Linked DNA regions of Macaca mulatta. The main gene of each other region encodes a partner of the protein of the gene in region 2 in a complex. Links are inferred from orthologs where the notes say so. Each region holds a gene or a part of one and is shown on either strand. Other genes may lie near its edges.

The links.
Region 1: the proteins of SORT1 (region 2) and NTS are in contact, whole or in part, in a crystal structure (PDB 4PO7), measured with the Homo sapiens proteins. The link is inferred for Macaca mulatta from reciprocal best matches to the Homo sapiens genes SORT1 and NTS. Residues at the interface, in NP_002950.3 of Homo sapiens: Val112, Ser113, Leu114, Ser115, Trp116, Lys260, Tyr304, Ser305, Phe306, Gly307, Leu308, Phe314, Ser316, Arg325, Ile327, Phe350, Tyr351, Ser352, Ile353, Tyr395, Gly399, Thr570, Gly571, Leu572, Ala573, Trp586, Trp597; in NP_006174.1 of Homo sapiens: Leu152, Tyr153, Glu154, Asn155, Pro160, Tyr161, Ile162, Leu163.
Region 3: the proteins of SORT1 (region 2) and GRN are in contact, whole or in part, in a crystal structure (PDB 8T8S), measured with the Homo sapiens proteins. The link is inferred for Macaca mulatta from reciprocal best matches to the Homo sapiens genes SORT1 and GRN. Residues at the interface, in NP_002950.3 of Homo sapiens: Leu108, Gly110, Ser111, Val112, Ser113, Leu114, Ile174, Gly175, Pro176, Lys260, Tyr304, Ser305, Phe306, Gly307, Leu308, Phe314, Ala315, Ser316, Arg325, Ile327, Phe350, Tyr351, Ser352, Ile353, Leu354, Tyr395, Thr398, Gly399, Thr402, Phe404; in NP_002078.1 of Homo sapiens: Pro578, Arg579, Trp580, Asp581, Ala582, Pro583, Arg585, Arg590, Gln591, Leu592, Leu593.

Annotation. Positions count from the first base shown.
Region 1 is NC_133416.1:93,073,216-93,077,447, reverse strand, and holds part of NTS (neurotensin/neuromedin N), read right to left. Parts: intron 3,666-4,232; coding exon 3,604-3,665; intron 1,934-3,603; coding exon 1,709-1,933; intron 1-1,708. UniProt on the Homo sapiens protein: Neurotensin may play an endocrine or paracrine role in the regulation of fat metabolism. It causes contraction of smooth muscle.
Region 2 is NC_133406.1:130,881,248-130,886,629, reverse strand, and holds part of SORT1 (sortilin), read right to left. Parts: intron 3,697-5,382; coding exon 3,506-3,696; intron 1,739-3,505; coding exon 1,549-1,738; intron 1-1,548.
Region 3 is NC_133421.1:68,727,991-68,732,756, forward strand, and holds the end of GRN (progranulin), read left to right. Parts: coding exon 1-21; intron 22-136; coding exon 137-221; intron 222-695; coding exon 696-808; intron 809-909; coding exon 910-1,045; intron 1,046-1,158; coding exon 1,159-1,268; intron 1,269-1,501; coding exon 1,502-1,628; intron 1,629-1,827; coding exon 1,828-1,925; intron 1,926-2,012; coding exon 2,013-2,258; intron 2,259-2,482; coding exon 2,483-2,716; intron 2,717-2,808; coding exon 2,809-3,039; intron 3,040-3,128; coding exon 3,129-3,266; 3' UTR 3,267-3,576; downstream 3,577-4,766. Other genes in the region: protein FAM171A2, read right to left, coding at 4,200-4,766. UniProt on the Homo sapiens protein: Secreted protein that acts as a key regulator of lysosomal function and as a growth factor involved in inflammation, wound healing and cell proliferation. Regulates protein trafficking to lysosomes, and also the activity of lysosomal enzymes.

The DNA of each region.
Region 1 (4,232 bases), on a different chromosome or scaffold from region 2:
TATAGTTTTTGATCTGGTAAACCAAGTTTGGCAACAAAGGTAACAAAATTTTATATTCAATTAAGTCAGTTACTGATTTGACATGAAAACCATTCTACATAGTAGAATTGGTCTACATAGTAGTTTATTGAGGATTTTTTTTGGGGGGGGTAAGTAACATATAATGGACATTTTCCTATATAAAAATATAGGCAGGAGTGTAGTGGTGCGATCTAGGTTCACTGCAAGCTCCGCCTCCCGAGTTCACGCCATTCTCCTGCCTCAGCCTCCTGAGTAGCTGGGACGACAGGCGCCGGCCACCACGCCCGGCTAATTTTTTGTAGTTTTAGTGGAGACGAGATTTCACCGTGTTAGCCAGGATGGTCTCGATCTCCTGACCTAGTGATCAGTCCGCCTCAGCCTCACAAACTACTGGGATTCCAGGCGTGAGCCACCATGCCCAGCCAAAACATATTTTAAATACTAAACAATTTACCAGAAATTTAAATTAAATAATTAATAGTAAATTTAAAACTGATCTTTTCAGTTTTTTGTTTATTTATCTTTTTGCTTACCAGTTATAATAAACACTAGAAATTCTGCCTGCACTTCTTCTTATCTACAGGGTAGCTCTTTGGTAGTCAATCACAAGTTTATTAGATTAGCAGGGAAGGCACTCTCAGATCTCCAATGCTAGTGTAAATCCAGAATATAAAATATTGACCAAATTTCTCTTAGAGGTTAATTTGAAAGAAATGTTTCCCTTGTCAGAAATTTTTAAACATCTGGTTTGTTTTTGTTGAAGAATTTATTTTTCTTCCCCCTCCTCTTCTTTATCCTAACATTGTTCTATATCTTCTCAAAGCTGTAATTTATATTTCAGAGCAAAATATATCAATGAAGGCAATAAATTGTAAAGCATTTTGCAAGTACATTATTACACACTGGTGTGTATTTATAAACAAACACAGAACACAAAGGTTTCCAAATAAACTGAAATGATGGGCAGATATATATCCCTATTATATATACCTTTATATAAATTAAAAATACTTTTATTTGCCTAATATATTCAAACACAACAGGTTCCAGATAAAACTGGAATAATAGAGATATATTAGCTTGGTGCAAAAGTAATTGTGGTTTTTGCCATCAACAGTAATGGCAAAAGTAATGGCAAGAACCACAATTACTTTTGCAACAATGTAATACATCCTTATCTTATATTTGTATATACATAAAAATATATTTTTTATTTGCCTAATATATTCAAATACAAATGGAAAACTTTATGTTTTATTCCAGTTTTACTTGGATTACTTTGTTTATAGATTTATAAATCCAGTTTGTTTATAGATCACTACACATGACTTTGTGTTTCTAAGACAACATTTTGAGTTGCTTAAATTTGTTAGACATGCCACCACCTACAACAACAAAAATTGCCTAAACATGCCATCCACTTAAGCATAATAAAAACATGTAGATCAAATCTGCCTGAAGATATATCCTATTTTTAAGGTTGAAGAAAAACATATTTTGCTCAGTTTCAAATATTTGAAGGACACTTTGAAGATTTGAAGCAATGTTGACTTCAACACGTGGCTTGTTCTTCTTCAATACTTGTAACTCTTCTTGTTATGATTATGATTGGGAATTTAATAAATCAATACAAATGACAGTTAACTAGTGTAACTATAATCATATTAATATTTTGTTATTGCTATACCTCCCAGTGTTGAAAAGCCCTGCTGTGACAGATTTTGTGGAGCTGGTATATTGTCAACATTGCTTCCAAGCTAAAGCCATCTAAAGCAGTGGGAAGTTTCCTTCTTGTAATAAGCTGCTCTTCATGAACTTCTCCTGTTTCCTCAGCTGGGCTGTTCAAATTATTTACAAGACTGCAAACATTTAGCAGAGTCATCTTCCAAGAGGGAACATGTGCTTTACTAATCTGAAACATAAAATTAAAAAAAAAAAAAACCCTGTAATTAAAACTTGTGTTACATGAGCAAGAAATGAATTCCCAGTGTGCTAAACCATCACATTTAGGGTCTAATTGCTACTCCAGTCTAATAAACACAGTGTTATTTATTTAGTAACATCATGTTCACAAAGTTGTATAGTGCCAATATCTCATAAATTCTATTTAACAAAACGCAATAGTCATATTCACATACACATGCACTTATGTGTATACACACAGAGCAAAGTAAAAAAGCAAGGAAATTAAAATGACATCAGAAATATATAAATATGATATATATATCACAGATGAAAAATTAAAAATAAAAAATTATTCCATATCTATTACATTTCAGCTTAATGTTTAATGGGGCAGTGACAAAGATGGTATTATTAAATGTGGACAATTACAAAGCATGAAGATAGTAATGCATTCCACACATTAATAATTGTTATGGGTAGCATCACAGATTATTTAGGACCTTTATGTATTAACTTGCACCTGGGAATTAGGTAAATCTATACCAAGACACCAAGGCACGTAACTTATCCCATTTTCTAACACAGACTATTAACTTCCGTTGTCTATTTTTGAACTGAAGATGTTGTAGCCATTAGTATTCTGATTGAGTACTAAACAATGAGAACACATGGGCACAGGGAGGGGAACAACCCACACTGGGGCCTGTCAGAGGGTGGGGTGGAGGAAGCAAGAGCATTAGGAAAAATAGCTAATGCATGCTAGGCTTAATACCTAGGTGATGGGTTGATAGGTGCAGCAAACCACCACAGCACACCTTTACCTATGTAACAAACCTGCACATCCTGCACATGTACCGCAGAACGTATTCCTAGGTACGGATTGGAATTTTAGAAACTTGCTTTCAAGACCCCAGCAGAGGAGTAATAGGGCCCAGAATACAAAGTTGTATTTGGCTCAATTAAAGAAAAAAGAATTAGAACATGTGAAAATAACGTGTCTGGTATAGGGAGAATTAAATCCAGACATACAATGAAGAGTACAGTTTAGTAACTCCTAAATACATTATAGAATGGTAAATGTCTAGAAGACTATGAGCTGCATTTAAAAACAAGGAAACACAGGTAAGCAAGGTAAACTAATCCACTTGCTAAAGATAAAATATTTAATAAGTCACTGTTTCAGGATTAGATCTCAGTGCTCCTGCTTGCCAGTCCATTGCTCTCACCTCTCTACTACATTTCTTCTGCAGGTTGTAATGAACTGTTATTTCTAATTTAAGGAAATAAAAAAACACCTTTTTATTTCCCCCAATATAATAAACAAAGGCAAAGAGCTCACTTTGTTTTCATTTAAACTGAGACCAATATACCTTTCTTCATACCCAATGTAAAAGGCATGGAAACAAGTTCCTTTAAAAACATTTACAGGCACGTAAATATGTGTGGCAATTAATTAAAATTGCAAAATACTGATTGATAGAACTATAATTTCTTTACCTGTCATATCAACACCTTTAACTTCTTTTAACTAAAAGAGTTTTTTTTTTCAAAAAGGAAATGCCTCTTAAGGAACTTTTAAATCTGGATGGGAAGTTATTACTATAGGAAAAGGATACCATATTGATAATGAAAGTTCATATGTTCTTCAACCCAGAGTTAAAGAAAAGAAAAAGTTACCTTTGATGTATGCATGCTGGTCAATAAATCTGCTTCTAATGCTTTCATTTCCTCCTCTGAATCTGAGTAAAATCAAAATCAGGTTTACTATAATCACATATCATATAATTATATCATAATCTACAGATTTTAGGTTAATTTTAAAAAGTAGTCTTAGAGGTTAATGTCTTTCTTATGTATTTTCTTAAAAATAGTAATCTTAAAAAACAAATTTTAGGTATATTTTAGCATAATAGGAAGCTAAAATAGTAGAAGCACTTCTAAGAAAATAAGCATATGATTATTTGTTCAGACAGCTGTTGATGACTTCGAGTTGTTTAAACTTTGAATTTCAGATTTTTAAAATGTGATTATATTGTATAACACATATTTTACCAAATATGCTAGAGTAGTTTATTTCTTACCAGCCATAGTTTACCTATATAGAAAATATGCATATTAACATTTAAAAACACAACATAATGAAGATTATACAAGAGACTTTTTCAAGACAAAACCAAAGGGAATTGCTTACTGATAATTTTAGAATAATACAGATACTGAGATTTACTTAACTTGAGATGCTTTTTTACAAAACATACGTTGAAAGAATTGTATTTGTACTTTAAGTAAGAATTCGGAATTATGTA
Region 2 (5,382 bases):
AGTCACCTGCGATTTGAGAGAACATGACATGCAGGGCCAGGGCTGCTATCTGCTTCCCTTCTTTGTCCAAATCCTTTAGGATCTACTTTTATCTTGTGTCAGTATCTTTTACAGGTAACAAGTTTCATAAGATCATCATCTGTGATGTGAAGCAGTTCCTCTTATTTGCCCCAAAATTACCTCATTTAAGCTATCCAGGGACTCATGCCCTTATATAATCAACTAACCCGATGCCAGCCAAGTAACTAATCCTTAAGTCTGGATGGTCCTGAACTCTAGGGAGTCCACTTTGATGGCCTCTAAACCTTAATGGGACCATGACTATACTGATGTCACCTCTAGTCTCAGGACCAACCACCATCTCTCTGCCTTGATTCTTGCAGAGGATCCAAAACCTAGTGTCCGCCTGCCGAGCTCATGCTGTCAGGGAGTTTTCTTTCTCTTTCTTTGTTTTCGTTTGAGATGGGGTCTTGTCATATTGCCCAAGCTGGTCTCAAACTCCTGAGTTTAAGCAATCCACCCTCCTTGGCCTCCCAAAGTGTTGGGATTACAGGCATGAGCCACCGTGCCGGGCCTCAGGCTATTTTCTAAAGTCCAATTTCCTCTTTGCTCCTCTACCACTTCTTTTGGTGTTTTTGTCTTTATTTCCTACAGATTTTTGTTTTATTCTCTTCTTTTTTTTTTTTTTGAGACAGAGTCTCACTCTGTCCCCTAGGCTGGAGTGCAGTGGCGTGATCTCGGCTCACTGCAAGCTCTGCCTCCCGGGTTCATGCCATTCTCCTGCCTCAGCCTCCCAAGCAGCTGGGACTACAGGAGCCCCCGACCACGCCCAGCTAGTTTTTTGTATTTTTTAGTAGAGATGGGGTTTCACCATGTTAGCCAGGATGGTCTCGATCTCTTGACCTCATGATCTGCCTGCCGCGGCCTCCCACAGTGCTGGGATTACAGGCGTGAGCCACCACGCCTGGCTTCTCTTCTTTCTTATATCACTTCTCTCCTTCCCACCACTGTCAACTCAGGATTTCTGGGGTTCGTTGCTGGTTCTGCCCATTAACTGTCTAATATGATTATATTATCTAATTATTAACAATTTTGGTTTCCTTTCTCTGTGCCTCAGTTTCCTTGATAAGAAGCAGCAGTTCTCCACTCTTGGAGAAAAGGGTTTCAATTTCTTTTGGGACAAGAGTCTCGCTCTGTCGCCCCGGCTGGAGTGCAATGGCGCGATCTTGGCTCACTGCAACCTCTGCCTCCCAAGTTCAAGTGATTCTTGTGTCTCAGCCACCTGAGCAGCTGGGATTACAGGCATGTGCCACCACACCCAGCTAATTTTTTTTTTTTGTAGAGACAGAGTTTCACCATGTTGGCCAAGCTGACCTCGAACTCCTGGCCTGAAGTGATCCACCTGCCTCGACCTCCCAAAGTGCTGGGATTACAGGTGTGAGCCACGGTGCCCGGTTGGATTTCAATATTTGTTAGCCTATAAGAAAACTGTCTTTCACCTCCTCCAACAGGGAAGGGGAGATAGAGAAATCTGAGGAATGCCGATACCAGAGAAAGTCCTCCAGGGAACAGAGGCAGATGGAGGGCTGCTTGGTCACAACATAGTCTCGACCATTCTGACACACGGATGACTTGCGTAGCCGCAGAAACTGTTCTTTATAGCCCAAAATGCAGCCATCTTCATAATCTTCAGGGTCTGTGGAGTGTGCCAGCCATATGGTATAGTCCTTCTCTTCACCTGAATGAGAGACAGACTGTTCAGGAAAAGTGCACAGCACAGAACCCACCCACGGGAGGCAGCTGCCAGGCTATAGGTAGAACAAGGAGAGGGAAAGTGGGAATGTCTGACTCAACCTATTCCTTCATTTTGGAATTGCAAACAGAAAGCTACACTAGTCTAGAGCCTACTAGCAATTGCATTTCCTCATGCCAAAAGAATATTCTTTCCATCTCAACATCCATCTGAGGATTAGGAAAAACCCTACTTGTTTTGAAGTGGGAGCTGGATAGAAAATCTCTCTAGTTCCTTCCAAACTAAGAGGCTGTTGTCTGTGTGTCTTGCACACCTACGCCCTCAGTCAAGGAGCTGTCAGATGTAAGCAACCAGATATTTTCCACTCAGGGCCAGGGAGCTCTTTGTTTAGGACAAGACTAATTAGCCAAGAACACAGGTTCAATTTCACCATGTGTTCACTGGCTTAAGGCAGAAGGGAAAACATCCTCTTCCTAGACTTCTAGCTCCAATTGACCGGCTCTCAAATGCAGATTGCTGATGAACCTAGTTTCTGGCTTAGTATGTCGTATCATCTACTGGAAAAACGACTCAAAGGCTGTGACCTAAAGACAGTGGATTAGGTTTTATCCTTCGGGAAATGAAGACCAGCATAGATCCTGCTAAAGAGCAGGTGCCTAACAAATCTTTTAATGACATTAAACTTTAGGGGTAACTGGAAAACTGCCTGCTGAGGGGAGAACTCCCAAGCCAGCTTCTGTACAGACTACTGAATGGATTTAAATGACAGCGACCCTCAGGCATTAAATCTATTTGAACGTCTTATGGAAAAGTAAGGTCCAAACCAAGGGTCTGCTCCCTCAGGAGTCACTAAATCAACACACTGAGGAAATGAGCTCACGAGTCTCAAAGAACCAAATTCAACTAAAGTGTCTGGAAATGTTAAGTCTTTTATTGCATCATGCCAACACTTAACTACAGGTCATCCTTTTTCCAGTGTTTTCCTTTATCCCCCTTCTTTTTTTTTTTTTTTTTGAGATGGAGTCTTGCTCTTGTCACCCAGGCTGGAGTGCAATGGCACGATCTTGGCTCACTACAACCTCTTCATCCCGGGTTCAAATGATTCTCCTGCCCCAGCCTCCCGACTAGCTGGGATTACAGGCACCCGCCACCTCACCTGGCTAATTTTTGTATTTTTAGTAGAGACGGGGTTTCGCCCTGTTGGCCAGGCTGGTCTCGAACTCCTGACCTCGTGATCTGCCCATCTTGGCCTCCCAAAGTGCTAGGATTACAGGCATGAGCCACTGCGCCTGGCCATTCCCCTTATTTCTTATATAATGCCAGCACCTTTGTTTGGCACTGAGATCAGGGTTTGCTTGTGACACTTCGGGAACACTGTGTAATGAACATTATGAATCTTTTTCTGAAGCTATTTTCTGGTCCTTTAATACTGCTTAATGTTGAAATAATATTTTGTATATATTAAGTTTATTTTATTAATATCACCTTTCTTTTTACTTTTATAATGTAACTGACAGAATAATTTAAATGACATATGTGACCCTCATATTTCTCCTGGACAGTGCTAGCACCAAGGAGGAGGCTGTTTTTCTGATGCCATTCCATTACTTAATCACCCGCACAGAACATCTGTCAATCCTCTTTCATGTGAATATGCATCTGCTGATTCCAGCTAACAGAAATCAAACCATATTGATTATTTAGGAAAATAGGCTTAGGTTGCTGGTAGAAAAGGTCAAAGGAGACACTCACAGTTCCTTTCAAGGATATCTTTAAAATCAATGGTGTAGGAGACCCACTGGCTGGTCAGGAAAGATTCTGTGAAGCCCCAAATACTGATATTCATGGACCTCGCTCCAGGTTCTGAAGCTAGGCCAGTGAAATAGATGGGGTCCCTGGTGAACGTGTAGGTTTGCCAGCACTGACCTTCGTCTGTGGAGAACCTGAAACCACGATTAGAGAAAGATCATGACAGAGGATCCACGTATACTGGGAATTCAGAAAACCACTCTGGCTTTTTGACCCCAAACCAGACAAAACCCCTTACACATTTAGGTGATGGCTTATTGGCTGACAACTATTTTAATCTTTTTTTTTTTTTTTTTCTGAGATGGAGTGTCACTCTGTCACCAGGCTGGAGTGCAGTGGCACGATCTCGGCTCACTGCAACCTCTGCCTCGTGGGTTCAAGAGATTCTCATGCCTTAGCCTCCCGAGTAGCTGGGATTACAGGCACGTGCTACCACACCCAGCTAATTTTTGTATTTTTAGTAGAAATGGAGTTTCACATGTTGCGCAGGCTGGTCTCGAACTCTTGATCTCAGGTAATCTTCCCGCCTTGGCCTCCCAAGATAATCGGTGTGAGCCACCGCACCCGGCCAACTATTTTTACTTTTAATGTCTGTGGTTAACAGGATAAGCAAAAGAGATTTGTTCAGAGAGAGTATGAAAGTAAATATCTTTGCAGAAATTATTTCAAAGGAAAGACAGGAGAGTGACCCAGGTAAGAAGTGGCTTTTAAATTAATAAATTTAAGGCTGGCTGTGGTGGTGCACGCCTGTAATCCCAGCATTTTGGGAGGCTGAGGCAGGTGAATCACCTGAGGTCAGGAGTTCAAGAATAGCCTGACCAACATGACAAAACCCCATCTCTACCAAAAAAAAAAAAAAAAAACTCACAAAATTTAGCTGGGTGTGGTGGTGCATGCCTGTAATCTCAGCTGCTCAGGTGACTGAGACACAAGAATCACTTGAACCTGGGCGGCGGGAGGTTGCAGTGAGCCAAGATTGCACCACTGCACTCCAGCTTGGGTGACAACAGCGAAACTCCATCTCAATGAATAAATAAATAAATAACAATCAAATTATTTTATAAGAACTTATACTTCTTTTTTTCTTTGAGACAGGATCTCACTCTGTCACCCAGGCTGGAGTGCAGTGGTATGATCTCGGCTCACTGTGGCCTCGACCTCCTCAGGTGATCCTCCCACCTCGGCCTCCCAAGTAGCTGGAACCAAAGGCATGCACCACCACATCCAGCTAATTTTTCTTTTTTTTATGGAGACAGCGGTTTGTCACATTGCCCAGGCTAGTCTTGAACTCCTGGCTCAAGCGATCCACCCACCTTGGCCTCTCAAAGTGCTGGGATTACAGGTGTGTGCCACCATACCCGGCTCAGAACTTATACTTAAGAAGTCATTTTCAATCTAGAGTGCTTGAACGCTTCCATAATAATTTTGTAGACAGAAAGAATATATATATATATATATTTTTTTTTTTAAATTGAAATAATATTAGAGACAGGGTCTCCCTATGTTGCCCAGGCTGGTCTTGAACTCCTGGGCTCAAGTGATCCTCCTGCTTTGGCCTCCCAAAGTGCTGGGATTAAAGGCATGAGCCACTGCGCCCAACCCAGAAAGAATGTTTTTAAGAAGTGACAAATATGTTAGCTAGAGGCAGTGAGACGAAAAAACAACGCCATTTTAAAAGCAATCCTTTCTAGAATCTTATCTATAGTTCTGTCAAATGCAAAAATTTGAATTATAGTCTGTAACATCCCCCCAATAAACTGAAGACCATCCCCCAAGTTGCCCTCTATGCAGACAATGTGTGTGAGATGAGTTCATGCATA
Region 3 (4,766 bases), on a different chromosome or scaffold from region 2:
CGTTGCTGCCCCTTCCCAGAGGTGAGCGTGCCATCAGCCCGATGGAGGGGCTTAGGTCTGCATTGATGCTTTTCCTGCAGTCTCCCACTTGCAGATAAAAGGGCCTTGCCAATGCCGGTTTCTCTGTGTCCTACAGGCCGTGGCGTGCGGGGATGGCCATCACTGCTGCCCACGGGGCTTCCACTGCAGTGCAGATGGGCAATCCTGCTTCCAAAGATCAGGTGCAGCCGGGATGTGGGTGCAGGGCAGACAGACGGGCAGCATGTAGAGCCTGGAACCCAGGAGCCCAGCTGGCGGGGCAGCCCCGATTCCTGCCCTCGTGCCCTCATTCATGTGGCATCTGTACTAAGCAACACCCCTGCTGTAGACAGAGGTGCAGCACTGGGGATAGGAGGGGCAGGAGAAAGTGCAAGACTCCAAGTCCAGGCATTGTGGGGGTGGGGAAAGGTAAAGCTGAGCCGATCTAATGCCAACCCATCATCAGTGGGTGCCCCTTCCCCATGCCATCTTGCTGAGGGAGGGACTGGATTGTGAGGAGGGTGAGTTAGGCATGCCTAGGAGATCACTGAGCCCTAGTGTCACCCCCAAACCCCAGTAGCTGGGCTTGCAGGCCCTGGTGCCACCAGCTCTGTGCGCGATGGGGCAGTCACCTTCCCTGAGTGGGCTGGTAGAATCCCGGGTCACCTTGTCCACAGGTAACAACTCCGTGGGTGCCGTCCAGTGCCCTGATAGTCAGTTTGAATGCCCGGACCTCTCCACGTGCTGCATTATGGTCGATGGCTCCTGGGGGTGCTGCCCCATGCCCCAGGTACAAATCTGGGGAGACGGGGGTACGTGGAGGGAGGTGGGGGCAGAGGGTGGGGGCCAGGGGCAAGGGGTGAAGACGGAGTCAGGACCATTTTTTCTCAGGCTTCCTGCTGTGAAGACAGGGTGCACTGCTGTCCGCATGGTGCCTTCTGCGACCTGGTTCACACCCGCTGCATCACACCCACGGGCACCCACCCACTGGCAAAGAAGATCCCTGCCCAAAGGAGTAACAGGGCAGGTGAGGAGGTGGGAGAGCATCAGGCCAGGGGCTGGGGTGGGGCCTCATTGACTCCAAGTGTGGCAAAAAGTTCCCTCCACCCTGGCTGCCCCTCACACTTGCTTCTCTTCCAGTGGCTTTGTCCAGCTCAGTCATGTGTCCGGATGCACGGTCCCAGTGCCCTGATGGTTCTACCTGCTGTGAGCTGCCCAGTGGGAAGTATGGCTGCTGCCCAATGCCCAATGTGAGTGAGGGGCTGGAGCCAGCTTGGCTGTGTGCCCCCAGCCACTTGGCCCTGACATGCACCTTACGGGGCTCTGGGGCATGGGGCTGGCTGGCTGCTTGCTGGGAGCCTGGCTGATGCAGGGTTCATGCCACCCCCTAGTGGAGGATTGGGGCAGTGCCAGCCATCAGCCTGGCTGCTCCCTGTGCTCTGCTGAGCCTGGAAGTGACAAAGACTCACCCGTCCCCACCCAGGCCATGTGCTGCTCCGACCACCTGCACTGCTGCCCCCAAGACACTGTGTGTGACCTGATCCAGAGTAAGTGCCTCTCCAAGGAGAACACTACCATGGACCTCCTCACTAAGCTGCCTGCACAAACAGGTACCAGAGGCAGGGCACAGATACAGGGGTGGGGCCCTCTTTCCTCCCTTTTAGGCCTGGCCTTAGGATCACTGCAAGGTGGTGTAGGTGGTGCCCTCCATCTTCAACACCTGGTGCCAGCTGTGGAGCCGGCAAAGGGTGGATACCGCTGAGGGTCCCCAGTGCCACTTCTGATCTGTCCTCTCTGCCTCCCTCACAGTGGGAGACGTGAAATGTGACATGGAGGTGAGCTGCCCAGATGGCTATACCTGCTGCCGTCTACAGTCGGGGGCCTGGGGCTGCTGCCCTTTTACCCAGGTACCCAGGGGTGGTGGGTGGGTGCGCTGAGCAGTGTGGCAGCCAACTGGGCCCCAGTGCCCACTGGCCCTTCTCCATCTGCCCTAGGCTGTGTGCTGTGAGGACCATATACACTGCTGTCCCGCGGGGTTTACGTGTGACACGCAGAAGGGTACCTGTGAACAGGGAACTTACCAGGTGTCCTGGATGGAGAAGACCCTAGCTCACCTCAGCCTGCCAGACCCGCAAGCCTTGAAGAGAGATGTCCCCTGTGATAATGTCACCAGCTGTCCCCCCTCCAATACCTGCTGCCAACTCATGTCTGGAGAGTGGGGCTGCTGTCCAGTCCCAGAGGTACATGGGAGGGGACAGCATCGTGGCCTGGGCAGGTGGGTGGCCAAACTCCTATTGCTTTCCGCCCTCCGCATGGCCAGTAGGTGACACCCAGCTCTGTCAGATTCGTTCCCAGCTGGAGGTGCTGTAAGCAGGAGAGGCGGGCTGGAGTAGGTAGGGGCTCGGCACTGTGCCCCACCCCACATAGTGACTACCTAGAACGCCCTTTCCTGCCCACCCCCCAGGCTGTCTGCTGCTCGGACCACCAGCACTGCTGCCCCCAGGGCTACACGTGTGTAGCCGAGGGGCGGTGTCAGCGGGGAAGCGAGATCGTGGCTGGACTGGAGAAGATGCCTGCCCGCCAGGCTTCCTTATCCCACCCCAGAGACATGGGCTGTGACCAGCACACCAGCTGCCCAGTGGGGCAGACCTGCTGCCCAAGCCTGGGTGGGGGCTGGGCCTGCTGCCAGTTGCCCCACGTGAGTACCTCCCTGCCTGCCCCTGGATAGGGGAGCTAAGCCCGGCGAGGGGACAGGAATGTAACGCCATTCTGTGCTCCCTTCCCCGCCAGGCTGTGTGCTGCGAGGATCGCCAGCACTGCTGCCCGGCTGGCTACACCTGCAACGTGAAGGCCCGATCCTGCGAGAAGGAAGTGGTCTCTGCCCAGCCTGCCACCTTCCTGGCCCGTAGCCCTCACGTGGGTGTGCAGGACGTGGAGTGTGGGGGAGGGCACTTCTGCCATGATAACCAGACCTGCTGCCGAGACAACCGAGGGGGCTGGGCCTGCTGTCCCTACCGCCAGGTGAGTGCCATCCCCCACCCTGGGGCTGGGTATGGCCAGGGACCAGGTCCCACCTCATCCAACCCTCTCACCCCCCTCTGACCACCCAGGGCATCTGTTGTGCTGATCGGCGCCACTGCTGTCCTGCTGGCTTCCGCTGCGCAGCCAGGGGCGCCAAGTGTTTGCGCAGGGAGGCCCTGCGCTGGGACGCCCCTTTGAGGGACCCAGCCTTGAGACAGCTGCTGTGAGGGACACTACTGAAGACTCTGCAGCCCTCGGTACCCCACTCGGTGGGTGCCCTCTGCTCAGGCCTCCCTAGCACCTCTCCCCAACCAAATTCTCCCTGGCCCCCATTCTGAGCTCCCTATTACCATGGGAGGTGGGGCCTCAATCTAAGGCCTTCCCTGTCAGAAAGGGGTTGTGGCAAAAGCCACATTACAAGCTGCCATCCCCTCCCCATTTCTGTGGACCCTGTGGCCAGGTGCTTTTCCCTATCCACAGGGGTGTTTGTGTGTGTGCGTGTGTGAGTTCCAATAAAGTTTGTACACTTTCTTAAAAGTGTCTGATTTGCCGCCCTGCCTGCCCTCCCCAGGGCCCCAGAGCAAGGGTTCATGTCCACTGCCAACACTCCCTTCCCCTACCCCACAGAAAGACACACACAGCCTTAACCTCACCAGTTTTGTATTTGCTGCTGCCCACATCGGCTGTATCACATTACCCCCTAGTCCCCAGAGCTGTCCCAGCCACCAGCCCTGTGACATCGTAGCCCAGAGATGGGCTAGTCAGCAAGCAGCACCCCCTCCCCTCCCAGGGGTCCAGAGAGAACGCCCCCTCCCTTCCCAGCCCTCACACTAGCAGCTGAGGCTGGGTCACCCCTCCTGCTTTCCCACAATAGAGCTTTCTATGTACAGCCACGTCTACACAGGCACTGCTTCCCCCCAGCCCTCCTCCCCGGCACCTCCCCTTGGGGGCTGGACCCCCCTTCCTCCCCGGCTTGGAGGCAGACACAGGGTCCCTTGCAAGACACAACCCAGCACCTACCACGGAACGGCTCCAAGGCCCCTGGGCCCCTCTCCAGCCTGGGCCTGGGGGCTACGCGCGAGGGCCCCCGCAGGCCCCGGGGGCGCGCACCCTGGGTGCGGGCTCGCGCGGGAGGGGCGGTGCCAGGCCCGGCGCCGGCGCTACTTGACGTTGAACACCATCAGCGGCCGCTCCTCCCGCCGCTGCCACGGGCTCTTCTTGTCGCCGGCCTCGTCGCCCACCTCCGTCCCCAGCTCGTCCTCCGGGCTGGTGAGCGAGTCGCGCCGCAGCTCGCTGGCGCTGCTGCGGGAGCTGTCCCCGCGGCTGCGGCCCCGCCCCCGGGGTACCGTGGCCGCCCGGCCCTCGGGCGCCGCCACCTCGTCCAGCAGCGGCGTCAGCGAGTTGTCCTCTGGAGAGCAGAGACCCGTGCGGCTCTCGCTGCTGCTGGGCTCCGTGTCCTCGCTGAGCGCCAGGCGCGGGGGCGCGGGCGGCGGCGGCGGCGCGGCAGGCGGGGCGCGCTCCCGCTCCTCCCTCGCGGGCCGGCGGCGCGCGGGCCGCGCCTCGTGCACATCGACGCCCGAGTCCAGGCTGGCGTCGGTGCTGCGGGCCCCGCCGCCCGCCTGCAGGTCGATGTAAGAGTGGCGCACTTGCGAGTTGGAGCGCCCGTCGAGGGACACGAACCAGGCGCGCGGGTGCGGCTTCACGCCCAGTTCCAGTAGCTTCTTCTC